3 linked regions of the Sus scrofa genome follow. The protein of the gene in region 2 interacts with the protein of the main gene of each other region in a biochemical or structural test. Links are inferred from orthologs where the notes say so. Each region holds a gene or a part of one and is shown on either strand. Other genes may lie near its edges. The genes, in order: IQSEC2, DLG1 and EVI5.

What was found.
Region 1: the proteins of DLG1 (region 2) and IQSEC2 interact in a test that uses a peptide from one of them, tested with the Homo sapiens proteins (2 studies listed by IntAct, with this or other methods). The link is inferred for Sus scrofa from reciprocal best matches to the Homo sapiens genes DLG1 and IQSEC2.
Region 3: the proteins of DLG1 (region 2) and EVI5 interact in a test that uses a peptide from one of them, tested with the Homo sapiens proteins (2 studies listed by IntAct, with this or other methods). The link is inferred for Sus scrofa from reciprocal best matches to the Homo sapiens genes DLG1 and EVI5.

The regions. Positions count from the first base shown.
Region 1 is NC_010461.5:46,090,069-46,100,908, forward strand, and holds the start of IQSEC2 (IQ motif and SEC7 domain-containing protein 2), read right to left. Parts: upstream 4,911-10,840; 5' UTR 4,743-4,910; coding exon 4,036-4,742; intron 1-4,035. UniProt on the Homo sapiens protein: Is a guanine nucleotide exchange factor for the ARF GTP-binding proteins.
Region 2 is NC_010455.5:133,045,570-133,056,309, forward strand, and holds part of DLG1 (disks large homolog 1), read left to right. Parts: intron 1-2,768; coding exon 2,769-2,810; intron 2,811-3,520; coding exon 3,521-3,556; intron 3,557-4,969; coding exon 4,970-5,020; intron 5,021-6,169; coding exon 6,170-6,271; intron 6,272-6,529; coding exon 6,530-6,702; intron 6,703-10,740. UniProt on the Homo sapiens protein: Essential multidomain scaffolding protein required for normal development. Recruits channels, receptors and signaling molecules to discrete plasma membrane domains in polarized cells.
Region 3 is NC_010446.5:124,390,737-124,401,569, reverse strand, and holds the start of EVI5 (ecotropic viral integration site 5 protein homolog), read right to left. Parts: upstream 6,254-10,833; 5' UTR 6,206-6,253; coding exon 6,155-6,205; intron 1-6,154. UniProt on the Homo sapiens protein: Functions as a regulator of cell cycle progression by stabilizing the FBXO5 protein and promoting cyclin-A accumulation during interphase. May play a role in cytokinesis.

The sequences.
Region 1 (10,840 bases), on a different chromosome or scaffold from region 2:
TCCCAGCTCCTCACCGAACCCTGCTACTCATTTTGTCCTGAGCACCAGCACCAATGGTGGGTCGGGCCTGCCCCCGACCCATGTCTCTAGCTGGGTGTGGGGGAGCTCTCAAGCCCAGAGAGTATGGTATTTGCTCAGGCTGGTGGCCCCTCCTGCTCCGTGCACACAGCCAAGAAATGTTTGTGGATGACAACAGCCCCATTCTTGCCCCAGATCTAGACGGAGAAGCAAGACTCCTCTAATTCTCATTCAATTTGACGTTATCATTGCCTCCCACACGAGTATAATGCTCCCAACACACTGGAGGGGAGAGAAAAGTACCCAAGACCCCAAAGGAGACAGACTTCCCCAGGGCCCCTCCCTGGGCTCCCTCCCTCCCTCTGAGGGCCCTCGTCCCCCCTGCAGGGAGTACACTGACACCCCAGTGCAGGAAGCCAGCTGGGCAGCTGTGCCTAGACCACGCACTGCCCTGGCTGTCAAGAACGCCAGGCCGGCCCTGCTGGTTGCTATCCTCCATCGCAAGCCAGCTTGCTGGGGTGGGTGGCTGGGGGCGGGGAGAGGTGGGCCAAGGATGGAGAGTTACCACCAAACCAGCTTCAGCCCACCACCGCCTACGGCAGAGCCAGAGCTGGGCCCGGGCAAAAGGCGTGGGAAATGCAGCTCTCTTCAGTGTGGAGCCACTCGGCAGTGGCCCCCAGCACGCCTATAAATCATTCCAGGCACCAGAACTGCAAGGGGTTGGTGGGGGGGGCAGGCCAAGATCAACAAGGAAAACACAGCTCTTCGCTAATCACGGGGCGGGGGGGGGGAGTGTCAACAATTTCAGGGAGAAAGATCTGAGCATCAGCAGAGACCAGCAGCTGCTAAACAAACAAACAAACAAATAAGCAAAGACCTCATGTACCGAGGTCCAGCGGCCAGAAGGAGGTTGGGCCTCATCTCGCTCTATGCTGCACTAGAAAGGCCACACCCAGAGCACAGCAGAAGGCAGACTGGCATCCGGGAACCTGTCCAGAAGAGACAGTGCTAGAGGATGTGGGAATCCTTGGGGGGATGACACGGGTGGGGGTGGACGTGACAGCTGCTATCAACTGCGGTAGAGGACAAGTTCCCAGGCTCAGGGAGTCTGTCTCGCGGCTACTGTGACCTCTGGTGTGTTACTTCCCTCCTCTGAGCCCTCGGTTGCTTGGGCTATAAAATGTGGATGGTGGTGACAGATGCACAGGGTCACTGGGCGGACGGGAGCAAGTCCCTGAGCAGAGGGGCCCCTCAACAAGCGGCAGCTGGGCCCAGGCCCCTCTCTCCCCTCTTCCTCCACCAGAGGGAGCCGGGGGACCAGGAGCACCCAGCCTGTACCAGCTCTACCTATCCTCCCCCAATGCTGCAGCCTCTGCTGTTCAACTCCCACCCTGCCTGCCCTGGCTTCCAGCGGCAGCCTCTCACCCACTCCTTACAAACCCAGAACAGGCCTAGCAGGGGAGTCACTTGCAGCAGCTTTGGTGACAACAATGGCTATTGCATCAACAGGCCCTCCTGATGCCTTGGAATGGGGAGGGGTGCAGAAAGGAGGGAGGACAAGGCTTCCTGCCCTCCCCTGTCCACTCCCCCTCTATCACTCATCCCAGATCCATCTCCCCCTGCTCAAATCCTCTAGATACCTAAGGCTCTCCTGGCCTCTCCCAGTGGGTGACCTGGCCAGGTCCGGAGGCCAAGAGACTCCTGTGGGCTGGAAAAGCTCGAGTGGAAAAATAACAGGCCTCAGAGACAGGTGGACTCGGGTTCTAGTCCCAGCTGCATTAGGAACTGGCAGTGTAACCTTGAGCAAGGTCCCTTAATTTTTTTTGGGGGGGCCTCAGTTTCCCCATTTCTACAATGGAGTTGCCAGTGCCCACTGCACAGGGCCTGTTGTGAGGACCCAAAAGAGATTACAATGGACGTACAAATATTTAATATATGGTTAGGAGAGATTCAAAGTACTATCTCAATCCCGTTCGTAATCCAGTAGGAAATGCGAAGCAAGGAAACGCAACAAACAGCCTGAAGGGTGCACAAAAAGAGGGAAGGACTGAGAGGCAGGCCTGCCCGGATGGCAGAAACGTAGAGCTCAAGAGCAAACAGGCTTCCAGCCAGCCAAGAGATTCAGACCCATGTCTAGAGGATGGAGCAATCTGAGGGGAATGGGATCCTGGAATTGAGGAAGACCCAGGTCATTTCATTGGGTTTTACACTGATTCCAGAATGATGTTTTCTCCAGCCCTCCCCAATCCCCTCGAGGCAGTCCACTGCATCACCAGACAGCCAGGTTGGAAAGTTCTTCCTGCTATATCCCCCCAAATCTCCCATTGCTCCTGGTTCTGCTCCCTGGAGCCACCCATAATGAGGCTGCTTCCTCTGTCACAGGCTTGACCACTCTAGAAAAGTCTTCTGCAGCCAGGCTCAAGGACCACAATGCCCATCCAGTCTCCCTCTGCCCTCACCCCACCGTGGCCCTCTCCTGAAAGGGCCTTGCTTGGTCCATTTGGCCCCTCCCTCCAGTGTGGGGCCCCAAGCTGCGCACAGTCAGTCCTTCAGGAATGGGCTCCCAGCAACCCTCCACCTGGGCAGAAGAGCCCATCTCCCTCTGGGGCAGCCCACACCAAACCTCAGCTGAGGGTGCGCTGCAGTGAAGCCCAGTCGAGCCCTTGAGCTGCAGCTGCTGCTCCTGGGGCCCAGCCATCTCAACCCAGCACCCCAGCCTGCTGCCTCACCACGGGGGAGTTGCAGAGAGCTGTCTCCCGGCAGATTTCCTGAGGCAGAAGGCTTCCCCACCCCCAGCCCAGCCTCTAGGAGACACTCCACTGGTTGTGGCACATGGTAGGACCAGCTGAGCCGTGAGAGGAGGGGGAAAGCTGTCCATTCGCTAGAGGACTTCAGACTTGCTCTGTAGTGTGGCTGGATTAGTCACAGAACCATCAAATCTAAGCTGGAGGGGCCCTTAAAGAGCATTCAAGGCAGACCTTGCCTTTTAAAAAGATAGGGACCTGAACGAGGAAGGGACTCAGTCAAGGTCACAAAGCCAACCTGCAGCAGAGCTGGAAGAAGAACCCAGGTTTCCTAACTCCCAGTTCAGTATTCTTTCCAATCCAGCAGAAGAGAAATCAGGGAGCCTTTGGGGCAGCCTTGTGAGCCCGCATGTCCTTGACTCTCTCAACCTGACATTTATCCCAACCAGCTCACCATGGTTATCTGCATGGAAGAAGTGGACCCAGCCCATGCCCCATCAACACAAGAGATATTGCCAAGGTGTCCCAAATAGGCAGACGCGCAGACCCCAGCACAGAAACTGGCACTGATCCAACAAGAAGGAAGCTCTGTAGACTTCCTTTTCTGGCACGCTTTTTAATTGGGTGGTGTTTTTCTTGAGGGTGGAGAGGGGGTGGTCTTTGAGAAACTAGCCAAGGGCCAGGCCTCCATCTTTGCTTCCCCCCCCCCCCAGCCAGGATGTGCTGCAGTTCCCCTCAGAGAGCTGTCTCAGCCTCCAGCAGCCATTCTAGTCCCCACCTGCCTCTCTGGGCAAGGATGGAGCTGAGGCCGCCCGAGGAGATAAGATCAGGCCTGTGCTCAGGACCCGCAGAGGAGACCTGAACCGGAAGGGGGGGAAGGGGGGGGTGTCTTTCCCTTGGGGCTCTGAGCCTACACCGTCGCAGACAATAAAAATCCCGACCAGAACATCCTAAATAAATAAATAAATAAACGAAAAGCCATCCTCTGGCAAGGATACAGCGAGAGGGTGAAGAAGTGGAGGGGGTGATGACTGCTCCTGGCCCTCACTGGCCACGGTTTTGAGAAAGAAGAGATGCCTGCACTCGTCGGGCCAACCCTCTCTGGAAGAGCTAAGGGGTGTTGGCTGCATGAGAGGGACCTGGCTTCTCCCGACAGGCTGGGACAGGAGAGGTGGACATGGAATCAGGCACCGGCTTCTTACTTTACCAGCCGTACAAGTTAGAGAGGGAACTAGCGGGGAAGAGCCGGGGGAGACAAACACGCGTTCCTTACTTTCTCTGGAGGGTTGTGGCCGGGCTGGTGCTGGTACTCGTGCTGTGGCCGCCGCCGGCCCCCGGGCTGGAGCTCCTGGATGCGCCACGGCTCAGCTGGCCCCGCTCCCGCGGTGGCCGGGGCCCCACGCCCACCGCCGCCGAATAGCCGGCTTCCTTCTCGCGGCCCGGGTGCGCTGGCCCGGCCTCCCGCCCGCCACGCTCGCGACCCAGGGCTGGGTTCTCGTGGTGCAGGTGGCACTGGGTCACGTCGCGCTCGCGGGCAGAGTAGCCGGCACTGTCCTGGAGTGGGTAAGAGGCGTCCCGCTCCTTGTCCCGATACACAGCCTCTCGGTTCTGGTAGGCGCCGTCCCGGTTCGGGTAGCCCACGTCCCGGGCCGCCTGGTGGAACTGGCTCTCCCGCAGCTCCCGGTGGTGGAACTGGGTCTCGCGCAGGTTCTGGTACTGGCTCTCGCGGCTCGGGCTATCCCGCGCGCCGTGGGGGTCCCGGTGCAGCTCCCCGCGGTGCAGCTGGCTCTCCTCCCTCAGGTCGCGGTTCTCCTGGGTGAGCTGGTCCAGCTGGCCCTCCAGCTCTTCGATGCGCCGCCGCTGGGTCTCCAGCAGCTGCTGCTGGCTCTCGATGATGTTGTTCAGCTCCAGCAGGTACTCCACCGCCCGGTTAGGGCTCTCGGATCCCGGGCCGCCCGGGGGACCCGAACCCGCCTCCATCCTGGCGGCCCAGGGGCAGGGGAAGGGGCAGGAGAGCCCGGTCCCCGCTCGCTCACGGCGCCACCCTCCCCCGGGCCCAGCCGGGGGAGGGGGCCGGCGGGACGCGAGGGCGCGCACCGGGCTCGAGGGCCCGGGGGCCCGGGGGGCCCGGGAGACAGCGCTGGGGCCGGCGGCACGGGGAGCAGGAGCTGAGGCTGCCGCTGCCGCTGCCGCCGCCGCCGCCGCCGCCACCGCCACCGCCACGGCTCCCGAGGACGCGGCCCACGGCGCTCCGCCCGCTGCGGAGTCACTGCGCAGCGCGGCCGCGCGGGACCGCCCCGGCCGCCGGCCCGCCCCCCGCCCCTGCCCCACCCCTGCTCCCACCCCGCGCGCCCGGCCCGCCCCCGCGCGTCCCACCTGCCGCCGCCGCCGCCGCCCGCAGTCGAAGCCGGACCCGCCCCGAGGCACCCGGGCCAGCCGCATCACAGGCTGCGGCTGCGGGAGATTTCTCCATTCTACCGGCTCCAGGGTCGTACTTAATGCAGCCTAAAGAAGCCCTCCATCCCACTCTGTTCCAATGTCCCTAGGGTCCACCAGGCCCAAGATCCTCCTCTAAAACATTCCAGGAACCGCCATGCCAGGTCCAGGCATACCGCAGACTCCCCATCCCTTAGGTCTGCCAATTCCAAGTGTCAGATTCCCCATCCCGTCCAACTCCTGGACCTCCTATCTCAGGTGACCTCTCTCTAGCCCACATCACAGGCAGTCCCGGGATCTTCCCCCCCCCCCCAATAAGCCCTGGAACTCCCCATCATAGCCAGTCTTAGGAGCAAAGCTCCCTTCATGCGCTCAACCCGCATTTTCTGCTCTCCTTTGGAAATGCTCACCTCCATGCAAAGAAACTGTACCCATCCTTCAAGATTTAAATGCCACCTTACTGAAGCCAGCCCTGATCTCCCTAGCCATAAGTGCTCTCTTCCTCCACGCTTGTGGGACAAGTGGAACTCTGCTTTATAGCGCATTCGTTTTTGTTCTTGTTTCATGTCCTCTGCTAGACCAAGCTCCTTAAAGCCAGAAACATGTCTTCCTTCATCTTTGTGAACAGGTCGGGGTAGAAGAGAAAGCAAGAAAGCATGAGTTTTTCAGTCAGGCAGAATTGGATTTAAATTCCAGCTTCTTTCCGAACTTCCATTTCCTTTTCAATAACACCTACCTCACAGGGGTGGTCTTGGGAAAAAAGCATGCAAAAACATTTGGCATAAAAAAGAAAACCTGGAGAATGGAAGAAAATACTTGCAAATGAGGTATCTGAATATGTAAAGAAGTCTTACAGCTCAACAACAAAAAGACAACCCGTTTTTTAAAATGTTGCCCCTTTAAGGATTTGAATAGATTTAGTCTCCAAGATGTCCAAATGACCAGTAAGCACAGGAAAAGATGCTCAACATCATTAGCCATCAGGCGAATGCAGAGCAAAACCACAACAAGCTTTCCGTTCTAACCTAAAGAGAAACTTTCACAATGTCCAGTGCCCTTGATGTCCTGCAGCTGAAGGAGGAGGGGGTCCTTAAATTCCTTGCAGCAGGAACCCACTTAGCTGGCACCAACTTTGACAAATGGAACAGTATGTATACAAAAGGCAAAGTGATGGCATCTACATCATAAATCTGAAGGTTCTGCTGGTGGCTTGTACCACTGAAAACCCAGCTGATGTCAGTGTCATATCCTCCAGGAATACTGGCCAGCAACCTGTGCTGAAGTTTGCTGCTGCCACCGGGGCCATTCCTATTGCTGGCCACTTCGCTCCTGGAATCTTCCTTAACCAGATCCAGGCAGCCTTCTGTGAGCCACAATTTCCAGTGGTCACTGATATCACGGCTGACTACCAGCTTCTCACAGAGGCGTCTTATATTACCATGCCCACTGTTGCTCTGTGTGACACAGATTCTCCTCTGTGCCATGTGGACACTGCCACCCCGTGCAACAACAAGGGAGCCCCCTCAGCAAGTCTGATGTGGTAGATGGTGGCCCGAGAAGTTCTGCGTGTGTGTGGCATCATCTCCCGTGAGCACCACAGGAGGTCAAGCCTGATCTCAGCTTCTACAGAGACCCTAAAGAGATGGAAAAAGATAAACAGGCCACTGCGGGAATGGCTGTGACTGAGCAGGATTTTCAGGGTAAACGGACCGCTCCAGCTCCTGAGTTTACTGCTACCCATCCTGAGAGCACAGGCTGGTCTGAAAGCATGTAAGTGCCCTCTGTGCCTATCCAGCAGTTCTCTGCTGAAGATTAGAATGCTCAGCCCTCCACTGAAGACTGCTCCTGCTGCCCAAGCCACTGAATGGGTAGGAACGACCACTGGGTGGTCTTAGACTGGTCTTCCACAGGTTCTTAAACAGAAAATGGAAATAAAGCTGTTGAAAAATAAACATCAGTTTCTTAACACACAAACACGCACACAGAGATACCACTTCATACCCACAAAGATAGTTAAAAGAGGACAAAGAGAAGTATTGGCAAACGTACGGAGAAATTGGAACCCTCAATCCTTGCTGGTGGAAATGTAAAATGGTGTGGTTGCTTTGGAAAACAGTTTGGAAGTTTCTCAAAATGTTAAATGTAGGTTTACCATGTAACCCTAGAATCAACTCTTAGGAATATACCCAAGAGAAATGAAAACATAGGTCCACCCAAAAACTTATACATGATGTTAATAGCAGCATTATTCATAATAGCCAAAAAGTGAAAACAATGAAATGTTCCTCTGTTGATGAATGGGTAAACTAAATGTGGTATAGACACACAGTGGAATATTATTCAGTCATAAAAAGGAATGAAGTTCCAAAATATATAAACAGCCCATACAACTCAATATCAAAAAAACCAAACAACCTCATTAAAAATGGGCAGAAGACCTGAATAAACATTTTTCCGAAGAAGACATACAGATGGCCAACAGGCACATGAAAGGATGTTGAACATCACTAATCATCAGAGGAATGCAAATCAAAACCAAAATGAGATATCACCTCACATCTGTCAGAATGGCTATCATCAAAAAGACCACAAATAACAATGTTGACGAGGATGTGAAGAAAAGGGAACCCAAGAAACAAACTCATGGACAGGGAGAACAGACTTGTTGCCAAGAGGAAGGAGGAGGGAGTGAGAGGAACTGGGAATGTGGGATTAGTAGATGCAAACTATTGCATTTGGAACGGATAAGCAACGAGATCTTGCTGAATAGCACAGGGAACTACACCTAATCACTTGTGCTGGAACATGACGGGAGATAATGTATGTATATAAACATATAACTGGGTCACTTTGCTGTATAGCAGAAATTGACAGAACATTGTAAATCAACTATAATAAAAAAATTTTAAAGAAAAGGGAACCCTTTTCTTTAATGTAAATTGGTACGGCCATTGTGGAAAACAATATAGAGGTTCCTCAAAAAACTCAATATAGTTCCTGAAAATAGAACTACCACATGATCCAGCAACTCCACTCCTGGGTATGTATTCAAAGAAAACAAAAACATTACTTTGAAAAGATACATGCACCCCAATGTTCATAGCAGTGTAATTTGCAATAGCAAAGATAGGGAAGCAACCTGAGTTTCCATCAACTGATGCACGGATAAAAAAAGATGTGGGATATATACAAGATGAAATACTACTCAACCATAAAAAGAATGAAATTTTGCCATTTGCAACAATATGGATGGACTTGGAGGGTATTGTGCTTAGTGAAATGTCAGACAGAGAAAGACAAAAGCTGTATCATGTCACTTATATGGAAAACCTAAGAATTAACTGGTGAATATAACAAGAAAGAAATGGACTCACGGATATAGAGAACAAACTAGTGGTTACCAATGGGGAGAGGGAAGGATGAAGGGGCAAGATAGGGATAGGGAATTAAAAGATACAAACTACTATGTATAAAATTACTAGGCAACAGATATATTGCACAGCACAGAGAATATAGCCAATATTTCATAATAACTATAAATGGAGTATAAGCTTTAAAAATTGTGAATCACTGTATTGTACACCTGAAACATATAATATTGCAAATCAACTATACCCCAATTTTTAAGAAAAGGAATGAAGTACTGATACATGCTAAAACATGGATGAACCTTGAAAACTTTATGCTAAATTATGCTAAAAGAGACACTAAAGTCCACATGCTGCATGATTCCATTTATACAAAATTCCAGAATCAGAAAATCCATAGAGACAAAACGTAGAGTATCGGTTGTCAGGGGTGAGGGCATGGGTTGGGGAAAGAGGAGTGACTGCTCTGGGGTTTCGGGGAGGGAGAATGAAAATTTTCTAAAATTAGACGCTGGTGATGGTTGCACAACCCTGTTAATTAAAAACCACTGAATTGTACATTTTAAAAGGGAGAATTTTATGGTCTGTGAATTGTGTCTCGATAAAGCTGATTTTTAAAAACGCTTTGCATAGAGTCTAGCATGTAACAGTAACTATAGTAATAATATCACATCTATGGTGCTTACCCTGTGCTGGGCACTGTGCTAAGTACTTTACATGCTTAATCTGCATGACAATCTTATGAGGTAGATAATGGCATTGCCTCCATCTTACAGATGAGGAAAGTGAAACCCAGAGGTCATACATATGCATAGCCAGGATGCTCAGATGTTTCCTTCTCACTTCTCTGTATCTTTCCCCAGTACCTTGTACAACATAGGTGCTCCATAAAGGTTAAATTGACATATCAATCAAATACTAATACTCATCCATCAAACATTTCTTTTTTGGCCAAGCCCACAGCATGTGGAAGTTCCTGGGCTAGGGATCAAACCTGCACCACAACAGTGGCCTGAACCTCAGCAGTGACAACACCAGATCCTTAACCCACTGTGCCACAAGGGAACTTCTTATCCAGCAAACATTTACAGAGCATTTATGATGTTCTAGGCAATGCCTGCATTCCTGTCCCTATCCCTGCTTCTCTCACTCAGATACCCTTGCAGAGTCAGAGGCAGATAGGTACAAAGTTTCGGTCACAAAACATTTATTGACTGTCTGCTATGTGTCAATCAGTATTCTAGCAATGAAGAAAATAGGCAACAGTTCTGAACCTCATAGAGCTGACATTCTAGTCGGGGAGAGAGACAATAAAGAATAAGACCCACAGAACATGTCATATGATGTACCAGGTTGAATAGTATCTCCCCAAACTTGATGTCTGCCCCATGAATGTGACCTATTCTGGAAATTAGGGTTTTTACAGATATAATCAAGTTAAAGTGACGTCCTACTCTATTGGCATAGGTCCTAATCTAATGAGTGGTGTCCTTAAAAGAAAAGGGAAATTTGGGCACACACACACACCCACATACACACCCACACAGCGCCATGTGAAGATGGAGGCAAAGACTGGGGTCTCTAAGCAAGAGGCACATAAGGATTCTTCCTTACAGCTTTCATAGACCTGAGCATGGCTCTACCAGCACCTTGATTTTGGACTTCTAGCCCCCAGAATTGTGAGAGAGTGAATGTTGTTTTAAGCCAGCCGGTTTGTGGTACTTTGTTACCATAGCCCCAGGAAACTAACCCAGATGGTGGTAGGCGCTCTGGAGAAAGACAAAGCAGGGAAGGAAGATGGAGATGTCTGGGTGAATCAAACACAGCCCGTGCCCTAAGGGAGCTCCCAGTCTAGTCAGAGAATTACATTAGTAAGTCACAAAGAGACAGGCTATGCAAAGCACAGGTGTTGGAGACGCCAAGACTGAGGTGCTGGGAGGTCTTTATAGATGTAAAGGTATTTGAGCTGAGCTTAGGATTTCTACAGGTAGAAGTGGTAGAGTTGAGAAACACTTATTGAAGGGAGCCATGTGCCATGGATGCGAAAGGAACCGAGTCGGGAAAATTGTGCGCTTAAGGAACCACACGTAGTTTGGCTGAGGAGAGAAGGAGAAGCACATGCATGCGTGCCTGCCTGCGTGCATGTGTGTGCGTTGTAAGAGATGGGTTGATTCCGTTTAGAGAAGACGCCCAAGCCAAACTAGAGCATCTGGACCTTCTGTTATAGGCTATGAAAAGTCATGGAAGGTTTTAGAGCAGGAGGAGAGGGGGGTT
Region 2 (10,740 bases):
ACTCCAGCTTTGAACATTCTTATTCATGTGTTTTGGTGAGCATATATAGGCCTTTATATTGGGAAAATATCTAGGAAATTAATTGCTGGGTCACATACTTATAAATATGTTAGGATTTAATAGATACTGCCAAGTAGTTTTCCAAAGTGGTTATACTGATTTATCCTACCCCTACCTCCAGTAGTGTGTGAGTTCTAGTTGCTACATATATTTATCTACATTTCTCATGTGTATCTTATTTTTCATTTTACTCATTCTGGTAGATGATAGAGATATCTATTGTGGTTTTATTTTGCATTTCCCTGATAAGTAATAAGCTTGAACACCTTTATATGTTCATTGGCTATTTGAATATCTTCTTTGATGAAGTATCTTGAAAAAAGATTGTTTTCAATTAACAGGAAAACATTTTACCTTTCTACTAAGCTCCCAAGCAATGATGATGATGCTATTCCAAGTGCAATACTTTGAGTAGCAAGATTTTATTGTAGAGGAGTTATGTAAAGGATTCTTAAAAGAACTTGAAGAATTTGATTGCCTGTTAGCTATTGGTAATTCTAGAGAACTCAAGATGAGTAGGATAAATTCCCAGCAAAGAAACTGTAGTAACTTTAACTTTTTATTATATACTATGTCAGACATATTCAGTAATGGAGGAATTGTAAAATAAACCCCGCAAGTATTTACCCAACTTCTGTAATTATCAATTCAAAGTTAATTTTGTTTCTTCTATACTTCCTCTCCCCCTCCACTCAACTGCATTGTAATAACATTTCCTTCTTTTACATATTAGAGATTTTAGAGTGTAATACCAGTCCTAGTATAAATTTAAGAACTTTTCCTTTTCTATGTGGCATTTCTACTTCTGGAAGTGAATTTTAAGGGACTAAGACAAAAGGTGAAAGCCGTATAAATGAAGGCATTCATAATAATATGTTGATGTTTGTGGAAGACAATTTAAGCAAACTAAAATGTCAGAATAAGAAGAAATAAGGTAAATCATGATTTAACTGTCCAATATACTATTTTACAGCAATTTAAAATGATTGTTTTGAAATCCATGTGGTAACAATGGGGAAAATTTTAAATATAAACCTGAGAAAACTACCATTTTACATGTGCTTTTCATGTATTTTTCAGTCTTATAATTTTTAATATTCCTGCTTTCTTTAAAATATATTTAATTATGATTAAGCAAGTTGTGTCTGGAGTTCCCCAGCGGTTACAAAGCAGACTAGTATCCATGAGGACACGGGTTCCATCCCTGGCCTTGGTCAATGGGTTAAGAATCCCGCATCGATGCAAGCTGTGGCATAGGCCAGCAGCTGCAGCTCCAATTTGCCAATTAGACCCCTAGCCTAAGAACTTCCATATGCCACAGGTGCAGCCCTAAAAAAAAAAAAAAAAAAAGACCAAAAAAAAAAATCAGAGTTGTGTCTTATCTTTCCAGGTTAGAGTAATAGACTTGTTTTTTTGACTATGACAGCAATTCACAAACTGTTATCTTTATTTGAAATCTTAAGTCCTGCCTTTCTCTAAACTTTTCATTAGGGCTGTTTCATTTTAGGAGATTCTGTGAGTGATATGTTGGATAGCAGATACCTCAAACTTTTTCCTTATCCTTTAAATTTTTTTCCTTTGCCTGACATAGAAATTTAGATTTACTTCTCTCGCATGGAAAATTTTGATTTTTAGTTTTTAATAGATAAAAATCACCTTTTATTCAAAGGAGACATTGAGAGAACACGAGTTTACATTTACATGAGAAGATAGCTAGGTGTTTACTGAACAATCAAGCTATAAAATGGGTGGTCAATTTGAAGGAGGGACCTAGAAAATGGGTATATTTACTTTATCTTCTTTGTTTTGCAAAGTAGCCATTGTCAGTTTTACCAAAGAAGAGTTTTTCAAAAATACTAGTCTTCTTTAAAATACAGGCAGTCTTGGAGTTCCTGTTTTGGCTCAGTGGTAATGAACCCAACCAGTATCCATGAGGACTCGGGTTCAATCCTTGGCGTTGTTCAATGGGTTAAGGATCTGGCATTGCCATGAGTTGTGTTGCAGGTCGCAGATGTGGCTCAGATCCCAGGTTGGACTGTGGCTGTGGCGTGGGCACAGCATATGGGAACTTCCACATGCTGCAGGTCCAGCCCTAAAAAGCAAGAAAATAAAATTATCAGTCTCACCTTCTAGAATTCCGTTCCATTTAACTTTTTTTTTTTTTTTTTTGAGGCATCTGAATCTTTATCTGTATGATCTCAGACATGGATTTTCATTTCTCTTTAGGAACAAGAAAGAAGCTAAACTAAAAGCAAGATCATTTATTTATTTTTTATCTTTTCGTTAAAATGGGCATCTGTTCACTCAAGTATAACTTGTCTCCTTTGTCAGTTATTAGTGTTTCATAACCCAAATTAAATGATGCAATGACATTTTTTCTCCTTTGGGTTTTATGTTTGAACTAGTTTAGGATCACTTTGCCCTCTTCATCATATTCTATTTACTATTTGTAATAAGATTTTGTTCACAGACTCTATTGGACAGAAATGAGGCATTGTCCTTGATTATAGATTTTTTCCTTGCTATTTCATACTCACTTATTTGAAATAAACTTCTCAAAGAAAATCAAAAATATTTTTAAAAACTCTGAATTATGTGTGGTTTATATGTCGACATTTTGTTGTTACCTTGTTTATCTTGATAATTTGCTTTTTTTAATCTCATAACACTGTATTTTCTTTATTTTTTCCATTGTCCTGCAACTTCAGAACATGTAACTTCTAATGCCAGTGATAGCGAAAGTAGTTACCGTAAGTGTTTTAAGTTATTTGTTCTTTCGTTATCTCAAGTAATATACCCTTGGGGTTTTTCCCCCCTAGTTATGTGTTCTAAAAACTGAAAATTAGATGCTTAATATTTTAAAATCAGAGAGAGCCAAATAAAGCTCTGTACTTAATAAATTAAAATCATGCTCTAATGTAGAAGTTAATACCAAGTTTTCATAAAATACAAAAATTCATTTTACAAACAGTGCTTCTTATGTACATAGTACATGCATGTGAATTGGTGTCTTTTGTAAGAAATAAGTATCTAGTTAAATGAGAGGTAAACTTGCATTGTGCCATTTTATTTAGTAACTCTGTTTCTAACATGAGCATTAAAATATTTGTTAGTAATGCTAAATTATAATTAGCTTTATTTCCTTTTTCTATTCTGTGTCACCAATACTAGTATGGATCAAGATATTGTTTATCACCAGCTTTTGGTGAATGTAAGAAATGATGAAGGGAAAATTTTCACCAGTTGCTCAGTCAGTAATCATTAATACTGATTTCTTTTTTGGTTCTTGTGTTAGTCTTTGTATTGTATTATTAAATGAACAATATAAGCATGTGGAATTTTTAACCATATTTGGGCATGGGAGGAGGAGGGGGAGAATACATGAATATTATCAGTTGTAGCACCTTAAAAATTAAATTGCTTTTCTAACTTTTTTTTTTACTGCTGTCTAATATGAAAGTAATCTTGATTACAGATGAGTATGGCTGCTCAAAAGGTCCATCCTGTTAATATCAGTCTCTAATATTTTTCATGTTGACAATATATACTTTTAACCCTCGTTTGTTTGATTGGTTGATTTTTTTTCTGCAAGTAGTTACATAATGATTTTCTCTATTGGTGTGGGAATGTGATTCTTGTATTTTAACATTTTATTTACTTAAAATCAGAACACACTAGAGAGTAGTTGAGTAGCTTTCTAGGCTAAAAAGAGGTAATGAAAGTATATACTGTCTATGTCACCATTTGCATGAATTATTAGGTGTGTAATATTCAAATTGCATGTTTTTGCTAATATGTAATGGTTTACATATAGTACTTAAAAAGCAGTTTGTAAATATATATGCTCAATGTATTATAGTAAACTTGAAAACAACAAAATACGCTTTTAAAGGAGGAAAGAATATTTATTCCAGTTATAATTTAAAAGATTTACAGCTACATACATATAACAATGACAAATTTAGTGAGAATATTATTATAGAATTATAATGAGAAAATCTTCAAATACATTATCCAATATCAATTGATTTCACTGAACCATTTGAATTTAACAATTCTTCCTAGTTTGTTTTCTACACCTGTGTGTGTATATGTATGTGTGTGTTAAGACCTGCAGTTTTTAACTCCTAGTTATTTTCATTGAGTCAAGATATAATTTGTACACTTTTCTGTTTAGAATATTCTTAAGCTCTAAACCCTTAATTTAATCTTAGAGAAATTTAACTTCTAAAGTGCTTTTAAGATCAAAGCAAAATATGTTTTTTCTCCTTACTATTTATATGATTCATTTTGTTGAAAGAAAAGGATTTAGTTTTATCTAAAGCTTTTTTAACTCAAAATTTATTTTTTTAATTGAATAAATGAATTATAATAATCAGTGAAATTTTCATCAGTGAAATAGTAACACTAGCTTTTCCTTTGCATTAAAATGTTTGGCTAGAAAATAGTTGTAATTATAAAAATATGTATGTATATTAAAATTATACCTGGTATGACCAAAAAAGCAGCATATCCTTAATAAGAGTAAATTACCTACTGTGTATATATGTATAGAACTGTCATTAAAGTGTTTAAAAGATTTAATACCTCTTAGATTCTAAATAAAAAATTAATAGCACATACTTGACAAGTAAAGATTTTAAATAAATATAATGACAATGCGTAAAACACAGAATAACAGAAAGATAGTTATTAACTAATACATTTATGTTTTGTTTTAACATTTATCAAACTTTATGATTTGTCACTTTTTTCCTTAAATCTTGCCATGATTAATTTATAAAGTACTCTTCTTTTAACATCTTTGGCTGTTTTCTTAGGAAGGTGCTAGTAATTTATATGTTATATGTGAAGAATTAAATTAGTTGTCTTTATATATTTTCTCATCTCTATTTTAACTTTCTAATAGGTGGTCAAGAAGAATATGTCTTATCTTATGAACCAGTGAATCAGCAAGAAGGTTTGTGAAGCCAGTTAATATTTTACAATCTTATAGAAAAATATACTTCTTAATTTGGAAAATAGATGTAATTCAATTCATACTTTAAAAGTTACATTAATTTTACTATTTTTTTACCATTTGTATATATATAGAAATTTGCTGTATGATTTTATGAAATATGGCTTAGCCCATAGATTATGAGGATCTAGTCATTTTATATTGACTATATTATATTGTTTTATTTCCTAAGCAGCTTCTTTCCACTGTTTGTAGTAGTATCACTATGATTCTAGTGACCCTTGTTCAAAATCTTGGAAGCATCTTTGATCTTTCTGTGTTCCTCATTTCCCTTGTCCAATTTGTTTCTAGGCCCTATTTGTTCTTATCATATCTTTCTTATTTATGACCTTCTTTTCATCCTCCTACCACAATGTTAATTCTGATTTTCACAAATAATCTCTCTGCCTCCAACATGATCCCTTACAATCCAGGATATATACTTCTGTTAGATCATCTTTGTAGATCACTGCTATGATTATATCACTTCTTATACCCAGCTTCTTCTTTTTTTTTTTTTTTTTTTTTTTTTTGTCTTTTTCTAGGGCTGCACCCACAGCATATGGAGTTTCCCAGGCTAGGGGTTTAATCGGAGCTGTAGTGACCAGCCTACACCAGAGCCACAACAATGCAGGATCCGAGCCGCATCTGCAACGGATCCTTAACCCACCGAGCAAGGCCAGGGATCAAACCCGAAACCTCATGGTTCCTAGTCAGAGTCATTAGCCACTGAGCCACTACGGGAACTCCATACCCAGCTTCTTTTTTGCCATTCTTTCATCTGTTTCCTTACAATTTTACTTCAAAAAGGATTAGTAAAACATGATACTGTGTTTTCTCACTTGTAATGAGATAATGTTAGTAATGTATAGAAACATTATCTGCTAAAATGCTAGATTTAACTTGGTTGAATTATCCAAGTCTGACTTCCAACAGGAGATTGAAGTTTATGATCTTAATAAAGGCTTGTAAACCATAAGTTTAGGCATCATTGGTGGAGAAAGAAAAAAAGAAATTCTTCGTAATAGTTAAGGGTACTTTTTTTTTCTAGTGAAATATATACATATTTGTTGAATGTTTATCCCTTTTAACATGCAGTATATTTTTTAGTTAATTATACTCGACCAGTGATCATATTGGGACCTATGAAAGACAGGATAAATGATGACTTGATCTCAGAGTTTCCTGACAAGTTTGGATCATGTGTTCCTCGTGAGTAATTAACCCACATTAAATATTTGTTCTTAACATTTTGTCATTGTGTATGGTCAAAGTAAACATTACCATTTTTTAAGGGTTTATTCTTAGTTACATTATCAGTTATTCCTCCACCCTCCATATTATTGTCTCTTTTCAGATTTAAATCGGTCTCTTTTGTGTTGAACTTTACCAAATGATGCTTTAAGTAGCAAATGGGTTTGTTGTGCTTTTTTAATGTTAAACACTTCCTCAAGTTCTTTTCTATTAAAGATACAACCAGACCAAAACGAGATTATGAGGTAGATGGAAGAGATTATCATTTTGTGACTTCAAGAGAGCAAATGGAAAAAGATATCCAAGAACATAAATTTATTGAAGCTGGCCAGTATAACAACCATCTCTATGGAACAAGTGTACAGTCTGTGCGAGAAGTAGCAGAAAAGGTAAGCAAGCATCAAAGTGATCCCAGAATACAGTTTCTAATCAGATACACCTTTGACAGTATGAAAGAATGAAGGGATAGAGACTTTTAATTCCTATTTTTGAAAAAATACAGATAAATGTTTCAACATTGATTACTTTAATCAATGTTATGAATTTATTCAACTAAATATTTACTTTTAGGTGGCTTAGAGAATGGTATACAAGATCAAGTAGATTAAGAAGATAAGCAAAGAAAATAAGAATAGAAATGATAACATGAATTTCTAAGAGGAGAGGTTATTATTTTGAGGTCCTGTGCATTCGCTAGAGATAGAGCTTGTGTTTAGCCCTAGCTTTCCAACATCTAGCCTAATAAAGAAGCTAGGATCAGCAGTCTACCAATAAAAATGAACCAGATGTTCAGGGTAAGTATAAGTTGCTCCTGGTACTGAGACTAGGCTAAAATTTCTCCTGAAAAGTCATTTAACAAAAGACAATGTGAAAAATACTCAGTAGCATTATAATAGCAACAGAAAAATTTTTTAAAGCAGTCTGATGATACATTCACATTGAGTTAAAGCAGCTTTATAATAAAACCAAAACAATGTACTCCAGATGTGCTGCTATGCCTAAGTCACTCTTTGGATCAAGAAAGTAAATATCAACATTACTTTATACTTTCAGAATTACAGTAGTTTAAAACTTAGTCATGAAATACCTATAGAACATATAGCAGTAATTCAACATCTCTGTTTCCCATCATAAATGCTCCTTTTTTTTTATAAGAGGTTTAATTCTGACTAGTTTAAAAAAAAAAATTTAAATGAAAGTGTTCAATTGGCAAGAATTTGAGAAAATAGAAAATCTTACTAGATACTGTTAATGAAGATACACATTACTAAAACTTCATTTGAAAGCAGTTTGGCAGTACCCAATAAATGTACATAATCTTTGTGACACAGGAATTCTACTTCTTGTTATTTAAGTCAAGATTTACACATAAGGATCATGTATAATGATGTTCATAGTAGCGCTTTCTAGTAGTGAAAAATTGGACTCAGCAAAGAGGAGTGGATAATTAACTTATTTATTCATGCAGTGGTATACAGCAGCTAGAGTGAATAAACTAAATATTCACTAATTATGTGTATCCACCTTAGTCTCAAAATTCTAATGGTGAATGAATGAAGTTACAAAGGAAATATACAGGATGACACTACTTGTAACTTTAACATAAAACATCCAGTAGTTTATTGATGCATATTTCCCAAACATAAAAACCATGCAGGAGTATAAAATAAGCTACAAGGATATATAATACAGCACAGGGACTGTAATAACTATAAATAGAATATAACCTTTTAAAAAGTGTGAACAGCTTTCAGATATGGTGAAGCCAGGAGATCCTGGCCAGGAGGACATGGGATCTCATTGTTCTCCCAGCCCTTCAACCCTCCCCCAAAGCCCCTGAATAAAATGGATTGATCCAAATAAAATAAATAAAAAGTCTGAATCACTGTGTTGTATATATACCAGAAACACAAAATATTGTATCAATATCAACTGTGTATCAATTAACAAAAAATATTGCTGGATAAAGAAAACATGCATGGGAATGATACACATCTACTTCGGGAGTATATGTAGCCACTATCCAGTGGTTTTCTTTTTGAGAGGTGAGGGAAGGAAATTGTAGCTTTAGCTTTAGTTTTAATGTTCTACTTCTTTAAATTCTTAAAAAAAATTTTAAAAACACCCTCACCCTAACTGAGGGTAATATCCAAACTTCAGATTATTAATAAATAGAAAAGCAAACACCAAATCATAGCAAGCTATTTCTTGTGGAAACCTTGTGGAAAAGAAACTACCAGGAAATTCCACAAAGTAGAAATGTTGCAAATAATACTCTGATCACAATGCAGTAAAGCTGTAAATTATTAGGAAATTGAAAACAAAAAGGCCTGGCAAAGAGGAAAATTTTATTCATTTATTTATATCAACATACAGTTGATGTACAATATCATATGTTACAGGTGTACAGTATAGTGATTTACAATTTTTAAAGGTTATACTCCATTTATAGTTATAAAATGTTAGCTATAGTCCCTGTATTGTACAATATATTCTTTTTTTTTTTTTTTTTTTTTTTTGTCTTTTTGCCATTCTTGAGCCGCTCCCGCGGCATATGGAGGTTCCCAGGGTAGGGGTCCAATCAGAGCTGTAGCCGCCGGCCTACGCCAGAGCCACAGCAACGCGGGATCCGAGCCGCATCTGCAACCTACACCACAGCTCACGGCAATGCCGGGTCGTTAACCCACTGAGCAAGGGCAGGGATCGAACCCGCAACCTCATGGCTCCTAGTCGGATTCGTTAACCACTGTGCCACGACAGGAACTCCAATTATTTTAGCTTATTTTATATGTAACAGTTGTACCTCTTTATCCCCATCCCTATATTGCCCTACTCCTCATCCCTCTCTCCACTGCTAACCACTAGTTTTTTTCTCTGTGAGTCTGCCTCTGTTATATTCATTAGTTTGCTATACTTTTTAGATTCCATATATAAAGTGATGTCATACAGTATTTGTCTCTCTATGTCTGGCCTTTTCACTTAGCATAATACTCTCCAAGTCCATCTTTGTTGCTGCAGAGCAGGTAAAATTTTATGACAGAATACTGTTCCATTGTGTGTGTTGTGTGTGTGTGTGTATACATAACATATCTTTGTATTCATTCATCTGTTGATGGACACTTAGATTGCTTCCATATCTTGGCAATTGTAAGTAATGCTGCTATGAACATTGGGGTTCATGTATCTTTTTGAATTTAGCGTTTTTTGTTTTTTCAGATATACACACCCCAGGAGTGGAAATGTTGGGTCATATGATAGCTCTGTTTTTAGTTTTTGGAGAACCCCTCATACTGTTTTCCACAGTGACTGCACCAATTTACACTCCTACTAACAGTGTACAAGAGTTTCCTTTTCTCAAATCTTTGCCAGCATTTGTGCTCTTTTTGATAATAGCAATTCTGATAGGTGTGAGGTGATAACCTGATGATTAGTAATGTAGAGCAACTTTTCATGTGCCCATTTGGGCCATCTACATTTCCTTTCTGGAAAATGTCTACTCAGTTCTTCTGCCCACTTTTCAAACAGGTTGTTTATTTATTTGATGTTGAGTTGTGTGAGTTGTTTATATATGATGGACATTAACCACTTATCAGTCAATATCATTTGCAGATATTTTCTCCCATTCAGTCAGTAGTCTTTTATTTGTTGATGGTTTCCCTTGCTGTACAAAAGCTTTTAAGTTTGATTAGGTCCCATTTGTTTATTTTTACATTTATTTCCTTTGCTTTAGGAGGCAGATCTAAAAAAATACTGCTACAACTTATATCAAAGGGTGTTCTGCTTATGTTTTCTCTAGGAATTTTATGGTTTCAAGTCTTACACTTAGGTCTTTCATCCATTTTGAGTTTATTTTTGTATATTGCGTTAGAGAATGTTATAATTTCATTCTTTTACATGTAGCTATCCAGTTTTCCTAGCATTGCTTAATGAAGAGACTGTGTTTTCTCCATTGTATAATATTGCCTCCTTTGTCATAGATTAATCAACCATAAGTAGGTGGGTTTATTTCTGGGCTCTGTATTCTATTCCATTGAATTATGTGTCTGTTTTTGTGTCAGTACCATATTGTTTTGATGTCTGTAGCTTTGTAGTATAATCTGAAGTGAGGAAGCATGATTCCTCCAGCTCTGTTCTTTCTCAGTATTGTTTAGCTATTTGGGATCTTTGGTCTTTCCATACAAATTTTAGAATTATTTATTCTACCTCTATGGAAAATGCCATTGGTAATTTGATAGGAATTGCATTGAATCTGTAAATAACCTTGAGTAGTATAGTCAATTTAGCAGTATTAATTCTTCCATCCTAAGAACACAGTGTTTCTTTCCTTCTTTTTGTGTCAACTTCAGTTTCTTTCATCCCTGACCTACAGTTTTTTAACTATAAGTCTTTACCTCCTTAGGGAGGTTTATTCCTAGGTATTTTATTTT
Region 3 (10,833 bases), on a different chromosome or scaffold from region 2:
GCCGCGCCTGCAACCTACACCACAGCTCACGGCAACGCCGGATCGTTAACCCACTGAGCAAGGGCAGGGACCGAACCCGCAACCTCATGGTTCCTAGTCGGATTCGTTACCCACTGCGCCACGACGGGAACTCCCAACTGCCGTTTCTGAGGTGCCCAGACCAAAGCCTGGTACAAGCATGATCCCTGCACTTACCACCACCAAGAGGGTGGGCAGACCACCTCCTGTCCAACCCACGGGTCCTCCACCCACTTAAGGAACCAGCTCGCCCTCACCCCCAGAGCAAGCAAGGGGGCACGTGCTGCTCGTTTGAGCTCCCTCATGCTACAGCACAAGCCCCAAGAAAGCCTGGTCTGGATTTCTTGTCCGGCCTCATTAATTTCCACGCACTAAGTAGTCCAAGGAACCTAGTCAGTGACACGCTGTTGGAGGGACTGTAAATGGGTGCAGCCGCTAGGGAAAATGGTATGGAGATCCCTCAACGAAATTAAAAATGGGGAGATCCCATTAAGGCTCAGTGGTTAACGACTCTGGCCTCTCTCAGTGGGTTAAGGATCCAGAGTTGAGCTGTGGTGTAGGCTGAAGACTTGGCTCAGATCTGGCATTGCTGTGGCTGTGGGTGTAGGCCGGCAGCTACGGCTCTGATTAGACCCCTAGCCTGGGAACCTCCACATGCCGCAGGTGCTATCCTAAAAAGACAAAAAAAAAAAAAAAAAAAAATTAAAAATGGGGAGTTCCCAACGTGGCTCAGTGGTAATGAACCCATCTAGTATCCATGAGGACGAGGGTTTGATCCCTGGCCTCACTCAGTGGGTTAAGGATCTGTAGTTGCCATGAGCTTTGGTGTAGGTTGAAGATGTGGTTCAGATCCTGCATTGCTGTGGCTGTGGTATAGGCCAGCAGCTGTAGCTCTGATTCAACCCCTAGCATGGGAACTTCCATATGCCAACCCATGACCCTGAAAAAAAAAAAAAAAGGAAAAAATTAAAAATAGAATTACCATACAATCCAAGAAGTCCACTTTGGGGTATTTATCTGAAGAAAATAAAAACACTAATTTTAAAAGCTATATTCACTCAAAAGTTTATTGCAGGATTATTTATGATAGCTAAGATACAGAAGTAACTTAGGTGTCCATCGATAGATAAAGGGTAAAGAAGTGATGTATGTGTACACAACGGGATGGTACTCCACCCCCAAAAAAGAAGGAAGTCTTGCCATTTGCAACAACATGGACTGACCTAGGGTGCTATGCTAAGTAACGCATGTCTGGCAGAGGAGTTCCTGCTGTGACACAGTGGGTTAATTATCTGTTTTGTCTCCATGGAGATGAGGGTTTGATCCCCAGCCCAGTGCAGTGGGTTAAGGATTCGGCATTGCTGCAGCTGTGGTGCAGGTCGCAGATCCAGCTCAGATTCGATCCCTGGCCCGGGAAATTCCAAATCCCATGGGTGCAGCTGAAAAAAAAGGAAAAGAAAAAAATAACAAGCCAGGCAGAGAAAAACAAATATTGCATGGTTTCACTTATATGTGGAATCCAAAAAACAAAACCAATAAATACAACAAAATAGAAACAGACGCAGGGATACAGAGGACAAACTGGTGGTTGCCAGAGGGGTGGGGATGAAATAAATTAAGGGGAGGTACCAACTTCCAGTTAGAAAATAAGTAAGTCTTGGGAATGTCATGTACAGCATAGAGAATATAGTCAGTAACACTGTGATAACTTCAGTGACAGATGGAAACTAGACTTACTGTGGTGACCCTTCCATGATGCACAAAAGTATCATTTTGTATTGTACTCCTGAAACTAATATAATATTGCATACATCAGTTAAAGAAAGCAAGCTTTGAGTTCCCGTTGTGGCTCCGGGTAACGAACCAAATGAGTAACCATGAGGATGTGGCTTCGATCCGAGCCTCACTCCATGGGTTAAGTGTCCAGAGTTGCCATGGGCTGTGGTGTGAAGTCGAAGATGTGGCTCAGATCTGGCGTTGGTGGCTGTGGTGTAGGCCGGCAGCTGTAGCTCTGATTTGACCCCTAGCCTGGGAACTTCCGTGCGCTGCACATGGGGTCCTTAAAAAAAAAAAAAAAAAAAAAAGCTAAACACACAGCTGAGCACTCTCTGTGTGTGAATATCGGAATATCGGCCGAGGGCTGTACCTACATTGCTTCTTTTAATCCTCACGCTATTATCATGAGGCAGAAATTATTACAACCCCCTTGCATATGAGAAAACAGACCTCGTAAATTCCGTGCCTCTTGCCCTTGTTTATACAAACGGAAGATGGTTGGACAAGACTTTGAACCCGGTCAGTCTAATGTTGGAAGTGGTTTATGTGTATCACCTACCCACGAGATGAAGAGCTTTGCAATGACTAAAATCATGCCTTGTCTTAGGCCACTCAGGAGCCTGAGCACTTTGCATAGTAGCTATTCAAAGTATTTTGAATGAATGATAAAAACAAGCTTGGTGTTGATTTTATTGGCACAAATTATATACATTTTCATTGGTACAAACTGCAGGTACACATTAAAATGCTAAATAATCCAAGCAATCAGTACCGCTGGGCTCAGTGCGTAATGTATTGTCTCTAATGAGGCCACAGGCCTGAGGAAAGGAGCTCTGACCCCCCAACGCCACTCCTGGCTCATTCCTTTCTTCACTCACCCTGGACCCATCAGTTTATTTGATGAAAGAGCTGACACTTTAATTTCTCATCAAAAAATTAAATTTTGAATAAATAAAAGTTGTAGAAATAAATTAAAATTAAAGCTCAGTCTCACCCGAGAAATAGCTAATTCTGACCTCTCACAAGCGCGTGAGCACTTGCGTAAGTGAAATTCCACGGTGTGAATTCCACCCCAACACCGCCTCTGCTCCAGCTCTCTGCCACTCTGCAGTTCACACTCTGGAAAAACTCGAGTAGAAGATACAGGAAGTGTGGGGGCAGTGGGCAGGGGCACCCACCTCAGAGACAATTGAATTTGAGGTAAATTCAGTTAGCAATTCAAGATGCTATGTTTTTTTCTTCTTTCTTTCTTTCTTTCTTTCTTTTTTTTTAAATGCCACACCTACAGCACATGGAAGTTCCAGGCTAGAGGTCGAATCAGAGCTGCAGTGCCAGCATATGCCACAGTCACGGCATCATCGCATCTATAAATCCGAGCAGCACCTTCAACCTATGCTGCCATGTGTGGCAACGCTGGATCCTTAACCCACTGAGCCGCACCAGGAACTCCATGATTCTGTATGTTCTAATGCCACACACCCTTAGCATGGATTTGTGTCACTGTCCAGGACAGGAAAACAAAGAAGGTCTGAGCTCCTATGGCCGCTAAACCTGGCAAGGGTTAAATATCAGAACACCACGCTCTCAACTGCCACAAGCATTTTATACATCAGCCAGGTGAGCTTCGTTACTCACAGAAAGGCAAGGGAGACATTCCCCTGAGAGGCAAAAACTGCCCAGGGTACAGAAAAGGACTCACAGTGAAGTCAGTGGTGAACCACACTCCACTCTGACTCTGGGCAGCTGGCATCTGGAGCTTCCAGAGAAAATCAGGGCATCTCAGTTACATTCTAGGATTGCACCGTCCAATACATCAGCCACTAGCCTCATGCAACTCTTTGTATTTATTTATTTATTTATTTATTTATTTTATTTTATTTTTTTTGTCTTTTTTTTTTTTGCCATTTCTCAGGCCGCTCTCACGGCATATGGAGGTTCCCAGGCTAGGGGTTGAATTGGAGCTGTAGCCACCGGCCTACACCAGAGCCACAGCAACGCGGGATCCGAGCCGCGCCTGCAACCTACACCACAGCTCACGGCAACGCCGGATCCTTAACCCACTGAGCAAGGGCAGGGACCGAACCCGCAACCTCATGGTTCCTAGTCGGATTCGTTAACCACTGCGCCACGACGGGAACTCCAACTCTTTGTATTTAAACGAAATTTTCAGTTTCTCAGAGGCATTCACACAATTCAAGAGCTTAACAAGAGTCACGTGTGTCTGCTTATTTCTGCCTTGGGCAGTAGACAGACCATTTCCATCCATTAGAAAGTTCTCTTGGCCGCACTATTCTAGAAAAAGGAGAAATAACACTCTACTGTGACCTCCAGCTAATGTTCGCAATTTTCTTTTTGCTTTGCAAAAACGAAGGCTCACCATGAAATAGTGAAAGCCTATCTCACTTGGCTCAATGCTTTCTACAGCACAAATCCAAAAGGCACCCAAGCACAAGCGCTGTGGTCTTTCCTCCTATAGAGGTAAGAACGGCTTTAGCCTCACCGCTTCGCCTCCACTGCATTCCGCTGTCTGCTAGACACGGCATCTTAGGAAAGAACATTGTTAAGAGCCACACAAATCTATTGCCATCTCTTGGCACCTGAGCACAGATAAGGACTAGATCTGCCACAGTTGTGGTAAAGAACCAGCTCTCTGACTGTAGAGTTTGGATGTCATTTCTATGTGTGATATCAGCTATCCACCCAACAGCAGCTTTGACATTGCACTGCCAAAATGGGACATCAAGAGAGCGCCAATTTCCTTCTCACCCACCACAGGAGAAGTCCATTCTTTTCTTGACTGTCTGAAATAGCTGTTTTACAGCAAGATAAGATATAGTGCAAGTAGGGTAGTAATTCCAATTTATCCAATGATCTGGGAACTAGTAACCTCTACATTAATGTAAGTGACTGCATTGTGACCTAACATTTCAAGTGTGTTTGTTGAAAGTGTGTTAAGCCTCTTCTTTCTTTTTCCTTAGCCTCCCTGCCCAGGCCAGGGATCAGATATAGTCATAGCTGAGATCTAAGCCACAGCTGCATCACGGAGAGATCCTTAACCCACTGTGCCGCGCCGGGGATCAAACCTGCATCCCAGCACTCCCAAGACACTGTGAATCCTGTTGCACTATAACAGGAAGTCCTGTTAAGCCTCTTTGAACTCTAGCCTTTTCATCCATAAAAAAACGGGAGATAAAGTATCTACTTAAAATCAGAGTGATAATTAAATGAAATACCATATGCAGGGCACAGAATAAGCATTCAGCAAATGATAGCTCTTGCAATTGCTATTATCCAAAGTACCAACATGTCAAAAATTTTAAATAGAGTTTGAAAAGACTCTGAAGTAGAAAAATCCTGACTCGACCACCTGCTAATTGCCTGGCCTTTAACCTCCATAAGCTTCGATTCTTCATCCTTCATCTTACAAATAAGAGTTACCAACAATAGGGAGTTCCCATTGTGGCTTAGCAGGTTAAGAACCGGACTGGTATCCATGAGGATGTGGGTGTGATCCCTGGCCTCACTCAGTAGGTTAAGGATGTGGCAGCACTGCTGCAAGCCTCTGCATAGTTTGCAGATGTGGCTCGAATCTGGCATTGCCATGTGGCTGAGGTGTAGACCACAGCTGCAGCTCCGACTGGACCCCTAGCCTGGGAAATTCATATGCCACAGGTATGGCCCTCAAAAGTATAACAGTAAATGATAACAGTAAATACAAACTTTAGCTAATGTTAATAAGGTACTCTGTCCCCACCTTCACCAAAAAAAAAAAAAAAAAAAAAGAGGAAACTATACATTAGGAAAGTGTTACTCTACAGTAAAATTAATTTAGCTTTTATTATGCCCTATACTCCTACACACGGCTGGGAAGTAACCACTGCTGAAGTCATCACTGAGAGGCCACACAACACTTAACGCTGCCATCAAATAGAATTTGTGAACAAATTCTATGGTAACCAGCATTTTCTACAGCTCATCTTTTTCTCCACGGGAGGAATTTGAAACCCATACAGACATACGGTCTCCTCTGAGAAAGTACAGTCTAAAAAGATAGGCAGCAGCCAATTACAGCAGGGAAAGAAACGGTTTTGAATTACAACAGTCAGTTACCGAAATAACCTTTTTTGCAGGTGTAGAATTAAAGCTAACACTTCATAAATTGTTGTTCATCACTCCAGTGGCCGCAGCACAATGAGATAACGTTCTCAAAATAAAACTGAAATGTCCACAAGCTGTTCCTGTGTTTTGATGATTAAGCAAAGTCTATAAACCCTAACTCAGTGAACAAAATATCTCCTGTTACAGCAATTACATTTTTATAAGTTTCGATGTAAAATCAAACATTGCTTTAGACATTTACCTGTTTCCCAGAAGGGTTTCTAAAGGCAGCAGTCATTCTGGTGGTAACCATGATAAGCAAAGACAGAGAGACTGGGGATTTGAATTGAATTTATAGCTGACTCATCGGGAGTGTTTACAAGACACTACCCCTGGGATCCACCCATTCGACACCCTTTCGGCTCTACCCTACACTCTGGTTAGGTGGCACACTTCGAGGAAGCTGCCCATGGCCATGCGGAGGACGGGGATTGCAGGGGGCAGGGGGAGCTTTGGGGCAGAAGGTTGCTCGTTGATTTCATGTTTTCCTCCTCCTTCCCTTGCTTTCTTCCTCCATTCCTCCTTTCTCTTTCGTCCATGTTCCTTCCTGCCTTCAAGGACTTGGTTTGTCTCAGAATGACACTTGTGCACTAGCTGTTCTGTGTTTGGGGTGCTGACTCTGGCATTGGTTAGCAGCTTCTATGTATTAGGTGGTTTCAGGACTTGAATTTGACACGAGACAAAATTATGAACGTGGTAGGAGTTGCGTTGCGTTCTTGAGTTCGCTTTGTTTTGGTTTTCTTCTTTTGTGGCCGCCCCCCAGCCTATGGATTTCCTGAGCCGGGGGGGGGGGGGGGGGGGATTCAAGATGCAGTTGCAACCTACCCAGCAGCAGCAGCCACGCCAGATCCTTTAATGCACTGGCCAGACCAAAGAGCAACCTGCAGAGATTCTACCTACTCTGTTGCACCACAGGGGAAATTCCTTGAGTTTGTTTTTTTTTGTTTGGTTGGTTGGTTGGGTTTTTTTGTTTTTTGGGGGTTTTTTTTGCTTTTTAGGGCCGAACCTTCGGCATATGGAGTTCCCAGACGAGGGGTCGAATCAGAGCTGCAGCTGTCAGCCCACACCACAGCCACAGCAACACCAGATCTGAGCCGTGTTTTTGACCTACACCACCACTCATGGCAACACCGGATCCTTAACCCACTGAGCGAGGCCAGGGGTCCAACCTGTGTCCTCATGGTTATTAGTCAGATTTGTTTCCACTGCGCCACAATGGGAACTCCTACTCAGGACAATTAACTGGTAATGTCTATGAAATACAAAGGCAAGTAACATCCTTGTGAGAGAGAACTCAGATATATTCCATTCTCTCTGAATTGGGCTTTGGAAGCAGTTTTTATCTATAGTCTCAATCTTCCCCATAACCCTATTATTATACTCATAAAATTTACAAGTGAACCCAAGCAAGTCAGGAAGAATGCTTCATTTATTTCCTCATTCAATCATTCATTCAGAAGCATATGAAGGACACACCACTGTGTCAGACACTTTCCCAGGAGGTAGGGTGATAGCAGACATTCTCAGCTCCTACAACAAGGTCAGCAATAATGTAAGGTGCCTCCAAATGAAGCAGCCATCATTAGGCTCATATAAAAAGATGAGGATGCTGAGGCTGGTCCAACATCACAATGACAGAAAAAGTAAAAGCAAACATGCAAGCATAATTCTTTCTTCACTACAAAGCCTGTGTTGTTCAGAGTTACAAAAACCTAGTACCTGTGTCTAGACTCTAGTTTAATAATATTGGTTCTGGTGCAGAAGACAGACATATGAACAAATAAATGGACGAAAATGATATATTCCATTGTATGGCGATATAGCAGGAACATACAGACTGGGGAGCACCTAACCTGGCCAGGGAGCTGTCCTGTCTTTATCTGTCCACATCCTCTTCCATCTTCTATTGACAGGTGTAGGCACCTGACTCAAGCTAAGCCAGTCACATCACCTTAACCCCCTGGCCACAGCAACTAGGTCAAAAGGGAAGGCCTAGAAGATTCCCGCCCAAAGATTTTTCACAGCAGAACTGGAAAAGTTGAAGCCCTTTTCTTTCTCATTAGGAAGCTCTAGGGGTTTGAACGCAGAGATCCTGGCTATACTCAGAGAAGTAAAAATGAGATGGAAACATCCTGAAGATAAAGAATTCTTGGTTCCAAGCAATCCTGTCTTTCCTAAGCCTCTGCTGTTATTTATTTATTTATTTATTTAGTCTTTTCTAGGGCCGCACCCGCGGCATATGGCGGTTCCCAGGCTAGGGGTTGAATCAGAGCTACAGCTGCCAGCCTACACCACAGCCACAGCAACACGGGATCCGAGCCTCATCTGTGACCTACACCACAGCTCATGGCAATGCTGGATCCTTAACCCAGTGGGTGAGGCCAGGGGTCTAACCTGAAACCTCATGGTTCCTAGTCGGATTCGTTAACCACTGCGCCACGACGGGAACTCCCTCTGCTGCTCTTTAATGCTGTGGCTTCACCAGTAACCTCCAAGTGACTCACTGAATCATCTGATATTTTCTGAACATTTACATATGCATACTGCTTATATGGAATGCACTACTTATTATTCCAGGTTATTATTCTAGGTGATGCTCTAGGCAGTGGGGATAGAAAGACTTGGTAGCCATCCTCTAACTGGAACCCCCTTGATCCTCACGGCCTGTTTTTCACATTCTTCTACAGTCCCTCCCACAGAATAAGAGCTGATCTGTGTAACCAATAAAATATAGCATGAGTAATAGAGTCTATAACCTCTGAGACTAGGTTATCAGGACACTGTAGTTTTCACCTTGTTCTCTTGGATCGCACGCTTTGGGGGAAGCCAGCTGTCAGGTGTGAACAGCTCTATTAAGAAAAAAAATCAAAGGTGTTCCCGTCATGGCTCAATGGGGTTAAGAACCCAACTAGTATCCATGAGGATGCAGGTTTGATCCCTGGCCTCGCTCAGTGGGTTAAGAATCCCTCGTTACCATGAGCTGTGGTATAGGTTGCAGATGTGACTTGGATCCCGTGCTGGCATTGCTGACTGTAGTGTAGGCTGACAGTTGCAGCTCTGATTTGACCCCTAGACTGGGAACTTCCATATGCCTCGGGTGTGGGCATAAAAAGAAAGAAAAAGAGAAAAAAGAAAGGAAAAAAATCAAAGGCATCAGCATCTAGAGCCAACTTGCCAGCCATATCAACGAACCACCTTGGAAGTGGATCCTTCAGCCCCAGTTCTGTCTGACCATGTCAGTCCTGGCCCACATATGATTGAATCTCAGAAACCCCACCCAAGGACCAGTCAGCAAGCTGCTCCCAAATTCCTGACACAGGAAACTGTAAGAAATAATAAATGTTTGTTGTTGTTCTAGAGCACTAAATTTTAGGGTGTTTTTTTTTTTAACCACAAATAGCAATAGCAATAGATAATTAATACAATATATCAATGACAGAAACAGATGCAAACCCTGCCCTAACAGTGCTTAAATTTTCGTGGGAGAAAACAGACAACAAACAGATATGTACTATCCGTAAAAAGTAGAGCAGGAAAACTGAATATCTACATGTAAAAGAATGAAGTTGGACCTTACACCACAAATAAAAATTAGTTCAAAATGGATCAAAGAGCTGAATCTATAAAACTCATTTAAATAACAGGAGAAAATCTTTAGGACATGGGATTTGGCAATGATTTCTTAAATATGACACCAAAAACAGGCAACAACAACAAAAATACATAAATTGGATTTCATCAAAAGGGGTTAAGGATCCAGTGTGGTCTCTGCACCGGCCCAGGGCATTGCTGAGGTGTGGGTTCTATCCCCAGCCTGGGCCAGTGGGTTAAGGATCCGTTGTTGCCAAAGCTGTGGCACAGGTCACAGCTGCGGCTCAGATTCGATCCCCGGCCTGGGAATTTCCATATGCTGCGAGTGCAGCCAAAAAAAATTTTTGTCTGCATCAAAGAACACTATCAAAAGAGTAAAACGATAACTCATGGAACGGGAGAAAATATTTCCAAATCATATATTTAACAAAGAATTAATACCTAAACTATATAAAGAACTGCTACAATTTAATAAGAAAAAACAAGCCAGTTGAAAAATGGGAAGAGAACTTGAACAGACATTTCCCCCAAAAAGATGTACGGCAGCACATAGAAGGATGCATGATATTATTATTCATTAGGAAAATGCAAATGAAAACCACAATGAAATACCACTTCACACTCACCATGATGACTATTACAAAAAAAAAAAACTTGAAAATTACAAATATTGCTGAGGTCATGGAGAAATTAGAACCCTTGTGCACTGCTGGTAGAAATGCAAATTGATGCAGCCACTATGGAAAACAGTTGGTAGTTCCTCAAAAAGTTATACATAATTACCCTAGCACCCTGCAATTCTCCTTCAAGCTGCCGAAAGGAACTCAAAACAGGAACTCAGATATACCACGGTTCATAGCAGCTCTATTTACAACAGCCCAAAGGGGAAAGAACTCAAGTGTATATCAACAAGTGAATGGATAAGCAAAATATGGTATATTCGTACAACGGAATATTATTCAGCCATAAAAGGGAACAACGTCCTGATACATACTGCCAGACGGCTAAACCTCGAAAATATTGTGGTAAGTGAAATAAGCCAGACCCAAAAGAACAAATATTGTATGATTCCACTTGTAGGAGGTATCTAGGTATTTATAGAGACAGAAAGGAAACTAGAGGTTATCAGGGTCCAGGGGAGAAGGACCTGGGAAATTATTGCTAAATGGGTACACAGTTTCCAATTGGGGTAATGAAAGGCTTTGGGAACCAGATAGTGGTGATGGTTATACAGTATTGTGAAAATGTCCTTGATGCTACTGAATTTTAGATCTAAAAATAGTTAAAATG